Linked DNA regions of Neurospora crassa OR74A. The protein of the gene in region 2 interacts with the protein of the main gene of each other region in a pairwise test. Links are inferred from orthologs where the notes say so. Each region holds a gene or a part of one and is shown on either strand. Other genes may lie near its edges.

Region 1 (3,435 bases), on a different chromosome or scaffold from region 2:
CCTCAATTTTCTTCCTCTTCATCACAATGGCGTCAACAGTCTCCTCCATAAGCCCAATGCAAGGCAAGTCCACCACAACTCCTCCACCCAGCCCTTTCCTCCTCCTCTCACAGCCCTCACGTCCGTCACGCCCAAACTAACACCCCATCTTCCTACATAAACAGCCAGCATCGAAGCAGCAGCCGACAACCTATTATTCGAACAGGGCCGTCTCCTTGTCCCCCCTGAGACCTGCCTCTCCACCCTACTCAAACAGATCCTCGTCCAATTCACCAACACCTACGCCCTCCCGGATGGCAGTCATGCCCTCCTCTCCCAGCCCTCCAGCCTCGACCGTATCCTCAACTCCATCTTCGACACCTCCTGCCTCGCCTTCGTGACCGAAAAGGAATTCCGCATCGAGGCTGGGCTAGACGACCACGACAAGGTGACGCTGTTCGTCCAAGCTGTTGCGGGGATGGCCATGGTTTTTGAGCGGCTCTTGCGTGCTTGTTCTTCTTCTTCTGCAGCTTTCGCAAACTCTGGGTCAGGAGACTTGACGACCAGTCTCCTCTCCAGGGAGCTCCAGCTCTTTGCCGAGAGCGAACAGCGCAGAACGATGCTGGATCGTATCGGCGCGACGTCCTTGCTGAGCCATTGTTATACCAAAGACGAGCTGGTCAGCTTTGTGGTGGCAATGGTGGAGGATCCGGATCGGGCGTCCCAGCAGGGCGGGAGTAGTCTGCTCTCGCTGAATGCGGCGGGCGAGGATTTGTCGAGTGATAGTGTGGCATGGGTTAGTGGCCGAAGTTGCAAGAATATGGGGCTGCCGTGGGGGTTCACAATTATGGCGCTGAACTGAGGTTATACTAGACAGGATGAGAAGCTGCGGTCTGTCGGTGGGTGGATGAGTAAGGGTCAGGGAGAAGGGGGGTGTAAGTTGTGTTTTGGTTATCCCCATTCAGCGATTTTAGAGCAAGGCGTCAAGGGGTATCTTGGGGGAATCTTCAATGAATACATCACGTAATAATTACCGTTTGGTAAAGAAATCGACCTATGACTGCATTCACGAGACAGTTTCCCCGGAGCGCTGTGTGATGAATCGTACCTGCGCCTGATCTCGATTGGGTATAGTGGACATTCTTTCCGTAACTGATTTCATTAGGTCTAAGCCTTGACGGCCTGAGGGGCACCACCAGCCTGGGCGCTCGTCTGGACCTGAATGATCTCTGTCCTCTTCTTCTCAATCTTGCCCTGTGTCTCCTTGATGACTCCCTCCAAGCGAGTGCTGTGACAGTGGGTCAGTTGCGTTGTAACTCAAGATCCCATGCAGCAGTTCAACTTACATCTCCTTGCTGATGAACTCCAGTCTACCCTTGACTGTGTTCTCTGCATCCATCTTGTCCTGCTTGAGCAGCACCGGGCCCACTAGCTTGAAGATCTGCTCGTCATCCTTGAGCTTCTCGAACTCCTACATGGTGCTCAGTTAGTCCCCATTTTTTCCTTGGGCAGAATTTGGCGAAAGGCATTGGGCATGCGAGCGCGATGCTTGGAGAAAAGCTGACATTTTGCACGCTGACGTTTTCCTGCTTCTGAGCCTCGAGCTTCTGTCTGGCGAGAACAGTCTCTTGGAGTTCTGAGGTACAGTTAGTGAATGAACTACGGGGATATCATCATAAGGGGGGCTCACCTTTGTTCAGGTTTTGATACTCATCAGAGAGAGCTTGGAGCTTTAGTTGGAGGGGGCTGGCCATGGCTGCTTCTTTGAGGGTGATGTGAAGTGAGAGACAGGGTTATGCTGAAAAGTTACTAGGCGATGACGTTCGAAAACTGAAAAAGGGTTTGGACACAGTGAGGGAGGGAAGATGATGGATCAAAATGCAGGAACAAGAAACACAGATGAGCTCCAGTATGGGGAATTTGGAGGTTTCTATTCCGGGGAACTGAGCTCGCTGTGCAGTCAATCGTCAGGGGTGAGCTGAGCAGATCCCAAAGTCAGTGCCCAAGCTTTAGCTGTTAGTGCAGGAGTGTATCCTCAAGCAAAGTACTAACAGCCCCAGACCAGCGCTCTCTCCACGCGCAAACAAGTGGCGTCAGTGGCCCCCAGGCCGGGAACCATAACAGGACCCCGCGCTACGCTAGCGCTTCCAGGTCAACGGCCAAGACAAGTCGACCTCGTTGCTTGAAACTAACCAAGATATGGACAAGACCACCAACGATCTTCCCCTCTCCAATTCCACCTCAGACCAGGGCGCGACACCAACTTTTTTGTGCCAGAAGACAGTCTTGCCGTAGTCGTTGCCAGGTGACGCCCGCAAGATACGACCAATTCCCGATTTCTCTTCACCTTATCTCTGCCACTCTCGTTGCCGTAGCCTAGGACAACAGCAGTCGTCATCAACGGGTCTCCTCCCTCGCATATGGCCATCTGTTGACATTGACTTCGAACCTCGGCGCGCGAATATCAACAAACTCTCCTTGTCCGAGCGAAGAAGCAAACAAGTATAACGACTACAAACGCTTACTACGGCGTACCAAGAAGAGCGACCAATCCTACACTCGACTAAACCACGAATTCACGCGACATCACTTTACACGCTTCGAGCCGCCGCCGCACAAAATGTCCAATACCGACTTCCTCGGCCGCGCCATCGAGCAAGTGCGCAAAGCCATCGAAGCCGACAACGCCGCCCAGTACGACAAAGCCTACCAGCTGTACTACCAATCGCTCGAACTCTTCATGCTCGCCCTAAAATGGGAGAAGAACCCGAAATCCAAGGAGATGATCCGGGCCAAGACGGGCGAGTACATGGACCGGGCCGAGAAGCTCAAAGCGCACCTGGCGGACGCGGAAGCGAAGCGGAAGAAGCCCGGGATGGTGGGCGCGAACGGGGGTTCGACGGGCGGGACGGGGAAGGGGAAGGAGGCCGGGGAGGACGGTAATGGCAATGGAGAAGCGTTGGATGAGGATAGCAAGAAGCTGAGAAGTGCGTTGGCGGGCGCGATTCTGCAGGAACGGCCGAACATCAGCTGGGATGATGTGGCTGGTCTAGAGGGTGCCAAGGAGGCCCTCAAGGAGGCGGTCTTGTTGCCAATCAAGTTCCCGCATCTGTTCCAGGGGAAGAGGCAGCCGTGGAAGGGTATTTTGCTGTATGGCCCACCGGGAACAGGAAAGAGTTATTTGGCCAAGGCAGTGGCGACAGAGGCGAAGAGCACGTTCTTCAGCGTGAGCAGCTCGGATTTGGTGAGCAAGTGGATGGGTGAGAGTGAACGGTATGTTTTGTCCTGTTGTCTCTGTCCTTATGCCACTATCGTGACTGAGAAGCTAACGATTTTCCAACAAAAAACAGTCTAGTAAAGCAACTCTTCGCCATGGCCCGAGAAAACAAGCCCTCCATTATCTTCATCGACGAGATCGACGCCCTCTGCGGTCCGCGCGGTGAAGGCGAGTCGGAA
Region 2 (3,048 bases):
CAGCCTCAGGCCTTTTTCCCAGATCGACTTCAGGAAACTCTGTCATGGACATCAAGAAAAAAAACTCATTCGAAAGTCGGCAGCATTTTGGCTCGAGCTGTACTGATCAACGGGAACAGTGGTCAGCATTCCATGGGCCGGCCCTGCCAGTGAACGCAGGTTAGAGACTGGCGATTCTGAGGTCGTGTCCTGGACTAAGGCAAGCCGTCCGCGGCGACAATTTCGTTCGATAGAGTGAGTAAGGTGATTAGGACGAGGATCGGGTGATTGGCACATCTTAAATCGCTGAAGCGACGGCAAGGCGTCAAGTCCGTTCCTGCTTGAAGCACATCTCAGCGCATGGGACATGCGATTCTCGCATCTCCAATTATCCAAATAGTAGCAAATGCATATTCCGGCATTGATGGTCAAGATAAGAAGTCTACGAGGCCCCAGGTTGACATCAGTTATATTACCTGCTTCAGTCAGTACGGTAAGGGCGCCGGGACCGAGTTGCTGTATTGACTTGGAGAAAGGCTTACAATGTGTTTTTGGTTCCCACTGACAGCCAGCCGTTGACAGTGGAATATGGTGATAGGGCCGAGGCCCGGCAGCGAGCGGCTTGCAGTACAGGCGCTGCGAGCTGCAGATATGCTTCATTGGGCATTTGACCTGCCGGCGAGTCTGGCCTCTCTACCTGAGGGACTTTGAGTGACATAACATGCACGTTATATCCAGTAATTTGCCCAAGAGTCTGATCATGTTGTTGACGTGGTTTAAGTTGGTAGCGACTGCTCAGCCCTGGTCGATGGAACTGTTGCCAGTGTTGTACACGGAAGCATTATTCACACTCATCGAAAGGGATGTAAGCCGGCGAAATGGGTTGCGGGCATGGCTTCATGTCTCGAGGTTGATTGTCTTTCCAAATCTTGCGTACAATTCCACCTTGAGCCCCGTCATCTCCTTGCGGATGGTTTCAAGCTTGTCATCGAGGGCTTCGATCTCCTTGATGAGTTTTGCAGCCGCGATGCCGAGCATCTCCTTGGCTTGTTCGAGGGGAATGTGGAAGAAGGAATCGCCAATCTTGTACCTGTTGTCGGGTCTCAGTATGTGTCTGGCTACGTGTCGTGCTGACGGTTGCAACTTACTGGACAAGCTCGTCCTCGTCCTCGACAAGCTCCAGTTCGGTTTCCAAGTCGTCGAGTTCCTCCTTCTCCTTGTTTTTGTTCTTGAGCTCCTCTTCGAGGGCGAGTTCGCGCTGGTGCAATCGGCTGAACCTGTTGATCTTGTCCTGGTCCTCGCGACGGACCTCGATCTCGTCGCCGGCCGCCTCCTCGTCCTCTTTACTCAACTGTTTTGAGGGGTGGTTAGCGACGAGCGCGAGAGAGCAGATGTTATGGACCAAGGACTTACCATGCGACGGTTCATTTTGCCGGTGGAGTTGGTTGGTGATGTTTGATAGCGGTACAGTACATAGATAGAGTCGTTGGGTGGTGACGACTGACGACCTAGGGAGCGACCGAAGCGACGTCGAAGCTCCCGTCTGACCCCACCTGGAATCCATCAGGGGCACAGCGACGGGAGCTGTTCATCGACGCCAGGGGGGGGGGGGGGGGGTACTACCCAGGTACATACAGTCAGTACCCTAGTACGAGCAACACCAAAAATCCGGCCACAAGTATTGCTCAAACAGGGGGGATTGCTGGTGCTGGGGTAGGGTGCACGGGCCATACTACCAAAACCTGCACTTCTAGGAAAGCCTTGGCGCCCAGACCTCCCCATCCCCTAATGTAAAAAGTGTGTAAATAGCGGGTATAAAGTAGTATCAAGGCTATAATTGGGTGAGAAGTACCCTTACTTTAGAGCAAATTACTAAATAGACTATTACTGTATACTCGTTTGCTCTTACACATATAAAAAAGAGAGTTTTGGCCCATACTGTTGCAAATACAGGGGGGGTTGCTCATATACAAGGTTGCTCTTACAAGGGTTTTCACTGTACTTCATGGTGGGGTTGGGGCTCTGCTACCCGATTGGTCACAACGTCTGTGTTAGTGCTAAGTCCTCTGCGCAACGCCAAAACATCAAAACAACACATCTATCTGCCCTGATAGTGACCATCAACATCAACCTCGGGCACGGTTGGCCTATTCACAGCAGCAAAGGACATGGTATCGGGGATATCCTAGGTCTTGTCACGATATTCAATCAACTGCAAGAAGAAGTCTGGGCGGAAATATGCCCGGCCAAAAAGCATACCCGCGGGCAACGGTCAAGAAGATTGTCAAGGCCCACGCTAACTGCAATGTTAGCAAAAATGTCGATGTCATGGTAAGCGAAGATAACAATAAAAATGCCACTATTCCCAAAATCCAACGCGTCGCACTAACATCGTGTTTGTCGCAGATCTATCTCGATTATGTTTTGTTCATGCAAACGTAGGAACCACTTCCTCACACCTTCTGAAACGGTATCACGCTAACACACACTCTGACAGCCTCATGAAGGAGGCTACCATCGAAGCCAAGCAAGGGGGTGAACGGGGCATCACAGGTCGGAGTGTCAAGAAAGTCACTGCGGTCAGTTTTCTTCTTCCCCACAACCACGCCCCCCCCTTTTTTTTTGACCCCCTTTTGTTGACATTTTGCTGCAATAGGACACTCTTGCCAAGTTCAAGGGTTGAGGAATTCCAACACTGCGCCTAGACAACACACGGGCTGGTTACCCCCACCGTCAAAGGGATCCCGTTGGAGGTGAAGCAAACGGGAGCATGGTTTCGACGACCTATCAGTTTTCAATAGGGTACAAGTGCATACATGGACTTGTACACGTCCTCATTCGTGGATGTAGGTAGTGACAACAGTTGGCTCATACATGACAAGTTGAATCGAGTGCGGGGGAAGACATCTCGACATCCATCGTACATAATGGTAAAATCAAAATTCATGGTCATGTCCAAGAATTCTGCCGTACTATACTGCATGGACCGCCGTTGCCTGTGATGGAGCTGTGATTCTTGGTCTTTCTTCAGGCTTCTGTGCCTGTCCCTCCCGCGTCTGTGGGCTCCAG
Region 3 (4,026 bases), on a different chromosome or scaffold from region 2:
GGGAAGGAGGCCGGAGCCCGCCCGTGATGGAGATCGTTTAATTGGGGTTCCGTTGCAGAGGGCCGGGGCCCCTGAGATTCCGCCTGCCCCTGGGGGCCGCCTGCCCGCTTGGGACCCGACGTTGGGGCCCCATCCGCTAAGCTGCTTTCTGCTGTTGGCGCAGGGCACCTCATCCAGTATTCAGGTCGGGCCTGGTCTGCCGTTCGCCTGCCGCCGTACCAAACAGAGACAGAGTCAAAAGACTCGGGACCCCGTCTCCGAAACGAATGCCGTCGTCATGGCGGTCAAGACCACAGATGTGCTTCCTCACTCCCGAAATAGGGGTTTCAGTTTCCAGGGGGGCGGGGGTGGCTCACTTTTGACAAAACACTGACAGCGAAACAGACAGGTCAACGGCCGCCCGAGCGCCCTGCCTACATGCGCATTGGCCCCCCGCCCATCTGACTGTCTCGACTGGATAAGACTTGGGTATGTACACCACTTGATAAACGATGGCGACGATCGATCCGCGACTACACTACAACTCAACCAGACAAACTCGCCCCCTCAGCCACGTGATCTCCTCGGATTGGCTTTTGGTAACGTTGTAAGGCTATCTCGGTGTATGTTTGCGGTAGGTATCGTGACAATCTAAACAATGAGCCATAGCGTCGATCTCTCTTGTAGCCAAGTGATAGACAGTAACTTCCATCACAACCAAGAACCCGGGCGGGAAATATAAAAAGTCATCATCGTGCCTTGATCATGAGGCTATGGGCGTTGGAGGCCGCCAAACTCAAATTCTCTTTAATCTCTCGAGGTCGTAGCCTTGACCTAGGCCAGAGCGAACCTCATCTCGCCAGTCCCACTTCAGTCTCTCCAAAACGACAAACCGCTTGCGTGGCCCTTGTTCCTTTGTCTCGTGAACAAATGGCTACTGAGCGTAATACGACGCAGAATATCTGTGAGGTATCGTTCGCTATCATGTTGCTTTCAAATCAAGTCCAACTTACCAAGCCATCGTGAACCTCGTCTCACATGATCGCGGCCAGCAGCAACCTCGGCCGGCCTCCCTCTATTAGACATTCTTCAACCGTCGTTCGCTCCCATGGCATTTCGTGATGGTGCATTATCTCCTCGCTTTCTGTATTAGACCTAATCTCCTCTTCAACCGTCCGACGCCGTCTCGCTCTTCTTTCCTTTTGTCTTCTCCTCCTCCTCCTTCTCTTTCCTCTTCTGCACGACGTCCCAGTTGTACACTCTGGCAACCGCAACTTCCATCGTCTATGGCGCATCGTTCAGGTCAGTCAAGGTTCCAAGATCGGTAACAGAACTACCATCTTCGCGTTCTCCGCCCAACACGTACCGTAATCTGTTCTCTCAAGAAATCCAGATCCTCCTCGCAGTTCTGCAAGCTCTGCGTCGCCGCCTTGAGCTTCGAGTCAAGCAGCTGCTCGGCCTCCTCAATGGGATACGACAGCATGACGTTGGCGCCGAGCCAGATGTACACCTCGTCCGTGGGTGGGATCTTGGCCTGGGCGTAGAGAGTCTCGTTGAGCTCGAATGTGGTTTCGATCGGGTCTGATTCGTCCTGTAAAACAGACAAAGTAAAAAGGTGATCTTGTCAGCGTGTCTTGTTCGTGTGCGACCGTATCTTCGTCCATCCATCCATACATCAATCCACGTCCTTGTTGTTCATGCTCGTCCTTGACCTTTGGTTCTCAATTACCCTTTCCCCCCGCCCCGGGCGCATTTGGTATTGTGCCCGCTGTATAGCTAGCTGTATAGCCCGTATGTTCGCGTGCCCTGAAGACGGAGGTGTGTGTGCGTGTGTGCGTGTGTGTGTGTCGTACCTTTCTCATCTGCAGGAACCGCACCGTGTCCAGCGTCTTCTGGATATCCGGCATCTTATCCTTCAAGCCCACCACCCGTCGCTGGAGGTTCTGCTCCATGAATTGGTACTTGGCAATCAACTCTTGGAACCGCCTCAGGGTGGGTTCGACATCCGCGCGAGACGTGACATAGTCCTCGACCTTGTCGACGAAGGGCGCCTGGGGGATACCTCGGGGGTTCGCGGGCGTGGCATCACTGTAGGTTTGGCGGAACGCGGGAGCAGCAGGTCAGCTTGTTTTGTGTTTCTATAGGTAGGCTAGGCTAGGCTAGGCTATGCTAGCAATGAGGAATACTTCGAGCCATGTCCGACTGTTGAAGTTAGGGGTGATGACATGAGACTCGTCGTTCAAGAGGGGCAAGACGTTGCTTTGTCCTGTCACCACCAACATAAGCTCTGATGCTTGGCCAAGGTAGGGTAAGGTAAGGTAAGGTAAGTAGGTAGTTCAACTGGGACTGACTTACCGACCCGCAGTTTCTACTTCTTTTCCTTTGGTTGCCATTCTGAGTATGGACCTTACATGTCGGGTTGTAAGGGGGAAAGGAAAAGACCGATCAAGGCGGGGAGCTTCCACTTGCGTGCCTCGGTTGGCGCCGAGCTCGTTGTTTACGTAGGTAGGTAGGGCCGTAGGTAGAGGTAGGTGCGATATGGTCATGGATGGAACCCCAAGGGCTGACTTGCCCGCCCGCACCTCGCTGAGCTCGCTCCCCCGCCTGCAGCCAGGAGTCCGGTCGAATCGATTTCATTAAGGTGGGGCAGGCCCCTGCCCGCGTACAGTACAATTCACCTCTGGAAAGTTTTGTTAGGTAGTGAGAGACCTTGAGTCAAGGGAGTTTCTGGGCGGGTGAATCCAAGCATATGTGCTTCACTGGATCGGGAAGGCTTGGAATCAAAACGATCATGTGAAGCCCTCGTTTTTTGACGTGTCTTTTCCTGGATTGAGATATTTGTACATGTCTTTTTGTGTGCTATGGTACTGCTGGCGATGGCTTCATCAGAAGACCCATGCTAACAAACAACCGACCGTTGGACTGTGATGACGACCCTGATACTGTCTGTGTAGCCCGCCCAGCGTTGGATTAATCAGGGGCTTGCTGATAATGCGCTGAGGGTCTTACGCCCGACCTAGGGATCCACGATTACCGCTCGATCATCAAAACGTTCCGGCAGCGAGGCCATCGTGGAGACAACGAACCGGGACTAGTGATCGATTCACTTTGAAATCCTATATACACTACATGCCCCATCAGACCTACCACCAAGTCCAATCCTTATTTTACGGGTGCACCCGTTGCGACTGATGTCACCGGCCTTCTGCTACTACTGCGAATCGTTGATACGAATTTAAAAAAACAGGTATGTTTTTTTCTGCACACGGAGTCATCTACAAGGAAGCCAAGAAAAAAATATCAGAAATAAAAAGATGAAGAAGAAAGATAAAACCCCCCATAAAAAAATAGCCAGAGAAAAAAACCCAAAAGCCACACCGTTTGAAATCCAAACAACACTAACCCAGACGCCCCAAAAAGTCCCCAACTCAACACCCCCTCCCTCCACCCACCACCCACCACCCATGGCCGCCCCATTCATGGGATCCAGATCCCTCACCCGGCAATCACCTTCGTTGGATATCCATCATGCGTATCGAGTCCCCGAAAAGCGACAATTGCAACTCCCCTGAAAATGGCAAAAGCCAAGAACCCGCGCGCTCGAAACAACCCGCTTGCCCGCCAAAGCCAAAAATTCGAGAACACCGGTACCTGATTTCCTGACACCAGCCGCAATGCGTTCCTTTTGCTCTCGTATGCTCCCCGCGTCTTCTTCTCACATAGGAAAAATACCCACTCAGGTCTCACGAGGATGAGACGTCCTCCATCGAACTACTATAGCCACTCTCTGCCCCACCAGCGGTTGCAACCGAGCTGCCAGTGTGCAGCATGTCCACCTCTTTTCCGGTGACGGCTGCCAATGGGCTGTCGTCCCCATCCACCGCTTCTGCCCGCGGCATCATCGCCCGCATGTTGTGGCCGCTGTCCGACAAGCGATTGTCGTCGCTGTCCATCCGCACATCAGTCTCGGTATCGAACGCCAAATCGTCCTTCCGCATGTACGTGTTGTTGTCCGAGAAATGAGGATTTGCTCGGCGCGAGATCTGC

Evidence for each region.
Region 1: the proteins of NCU03401 (region 2) and NCU06941 interact in binary tests that used the Saccharomyces cerevisiae proteins (3 or more experiments, as listed by UniProt). The link is inferred for Neurospora crassa OR74A from reciprocal best matches to the Saccharomyces cerevisiae genes GIM3 and YKE2.
Region 3: the proteins of NCU03401 (region 2) and NCU02264 interact in binary tests that used the Saccharomyces cerevisiae proteins (3 or more experiments, as listed by UniProt). The link is inferred for Neurospora crassa OR74A from reciprocal best matches to the Saccharomyces cerevisiae genes GIM3 and PAC10.

What each region holds. Positions count from the first base shown.
Region 1 is NC_026507.1:844,106-847,540, forward strand, and holds NCU06941 (prefoldin subunit 6), read right to left. Parts: upstream 1,933-3,435; 5' UTR 1,734-1,932; coding exon 1,670-1,733; intron 1,616-1,669; coding exon 1,545-1,615; intron 1,451-1,544; coding exon 1,326-1,450; intron 1,268-1,325; coding exon 1,147-1,267; 3' UTR 842-1,146; downstream 1-841. Other genes in the region: NCU06940 (hypothetical protein), read left to right, coding at 27-63, 165-841; NCU06942 (vacuolar protein sorting-associated protein VPS4), read left to right, coding at 2,600-3,252, 3,330-3,435. UniProt on the Saccharomyces cerevisiae protein: Binds specifically to cytosolic chaperonin (c-CPN) and transfers target proteins to it. Binds to nascent polypeptide chain and promotes folding in an environment in which there are many competing pathways for nonnative proteins.
Region 2 is NC_026502.1:844,934-847,981, forward strand, and holds NCU03401 (hypothetical protein), read right to left. Parts: upstream 1,445-3,048; 5' UTR 1,408-1,444; coding exon 1,393-1,407; intron 1,331-1,392; coding exon 1,128-1,330; intron 1,070-1,127; coding exon 877-1,069; 3' UTR 522-876; downstream 1-521. Other genes in the region: NCU03400 (hypothetical protein), read left to right, coding at 2,218-2,310, 2,386-2,417, 2,477-2,558, 2,636-2,662. UniProt on the Saccharomyces cerevisiae protein: Binds specifically to cytosolic chaperonin (c-CPN) and transfers target proteins to it. Binds to nascent polypeptide chain and promotes folding in an environment in which there are many competing pathways for nonnative proteins.
Region 3 is NC_026507.1:3,135,859-3,139,884, reverse strand, and holds NCU02264 (prefoldin subunit 3), read right to left. Parts: upstream 2,553-4,026; 5' UTR 2,526-2,552; coding exon 2,335-2,525; intron 2,068-2,334; coding exon 1,833-2,067; coding exon of another isoform or gene 1,701-1,832; exon of another isoform or gene 1,654-1,700; intron 1,571-1,653; coding exon 1,346-1,570; intron 1,264-1,345; coding exon 1,147-1,263; 3' UTR 563-1,146; downstream 1-562. Other genes in the region: period clock protein FRQ, read right to left, coding at 3,723-4,026. UniProt on the Saccharomyces cerevisiae protein: Binds specifically to cytosolic chaperonin (c-CPN) and transfers target proteins to it. Binds to nascent polypeptide chain and promotes folding in an environment in which there are many competing pathways for nonnative proteins.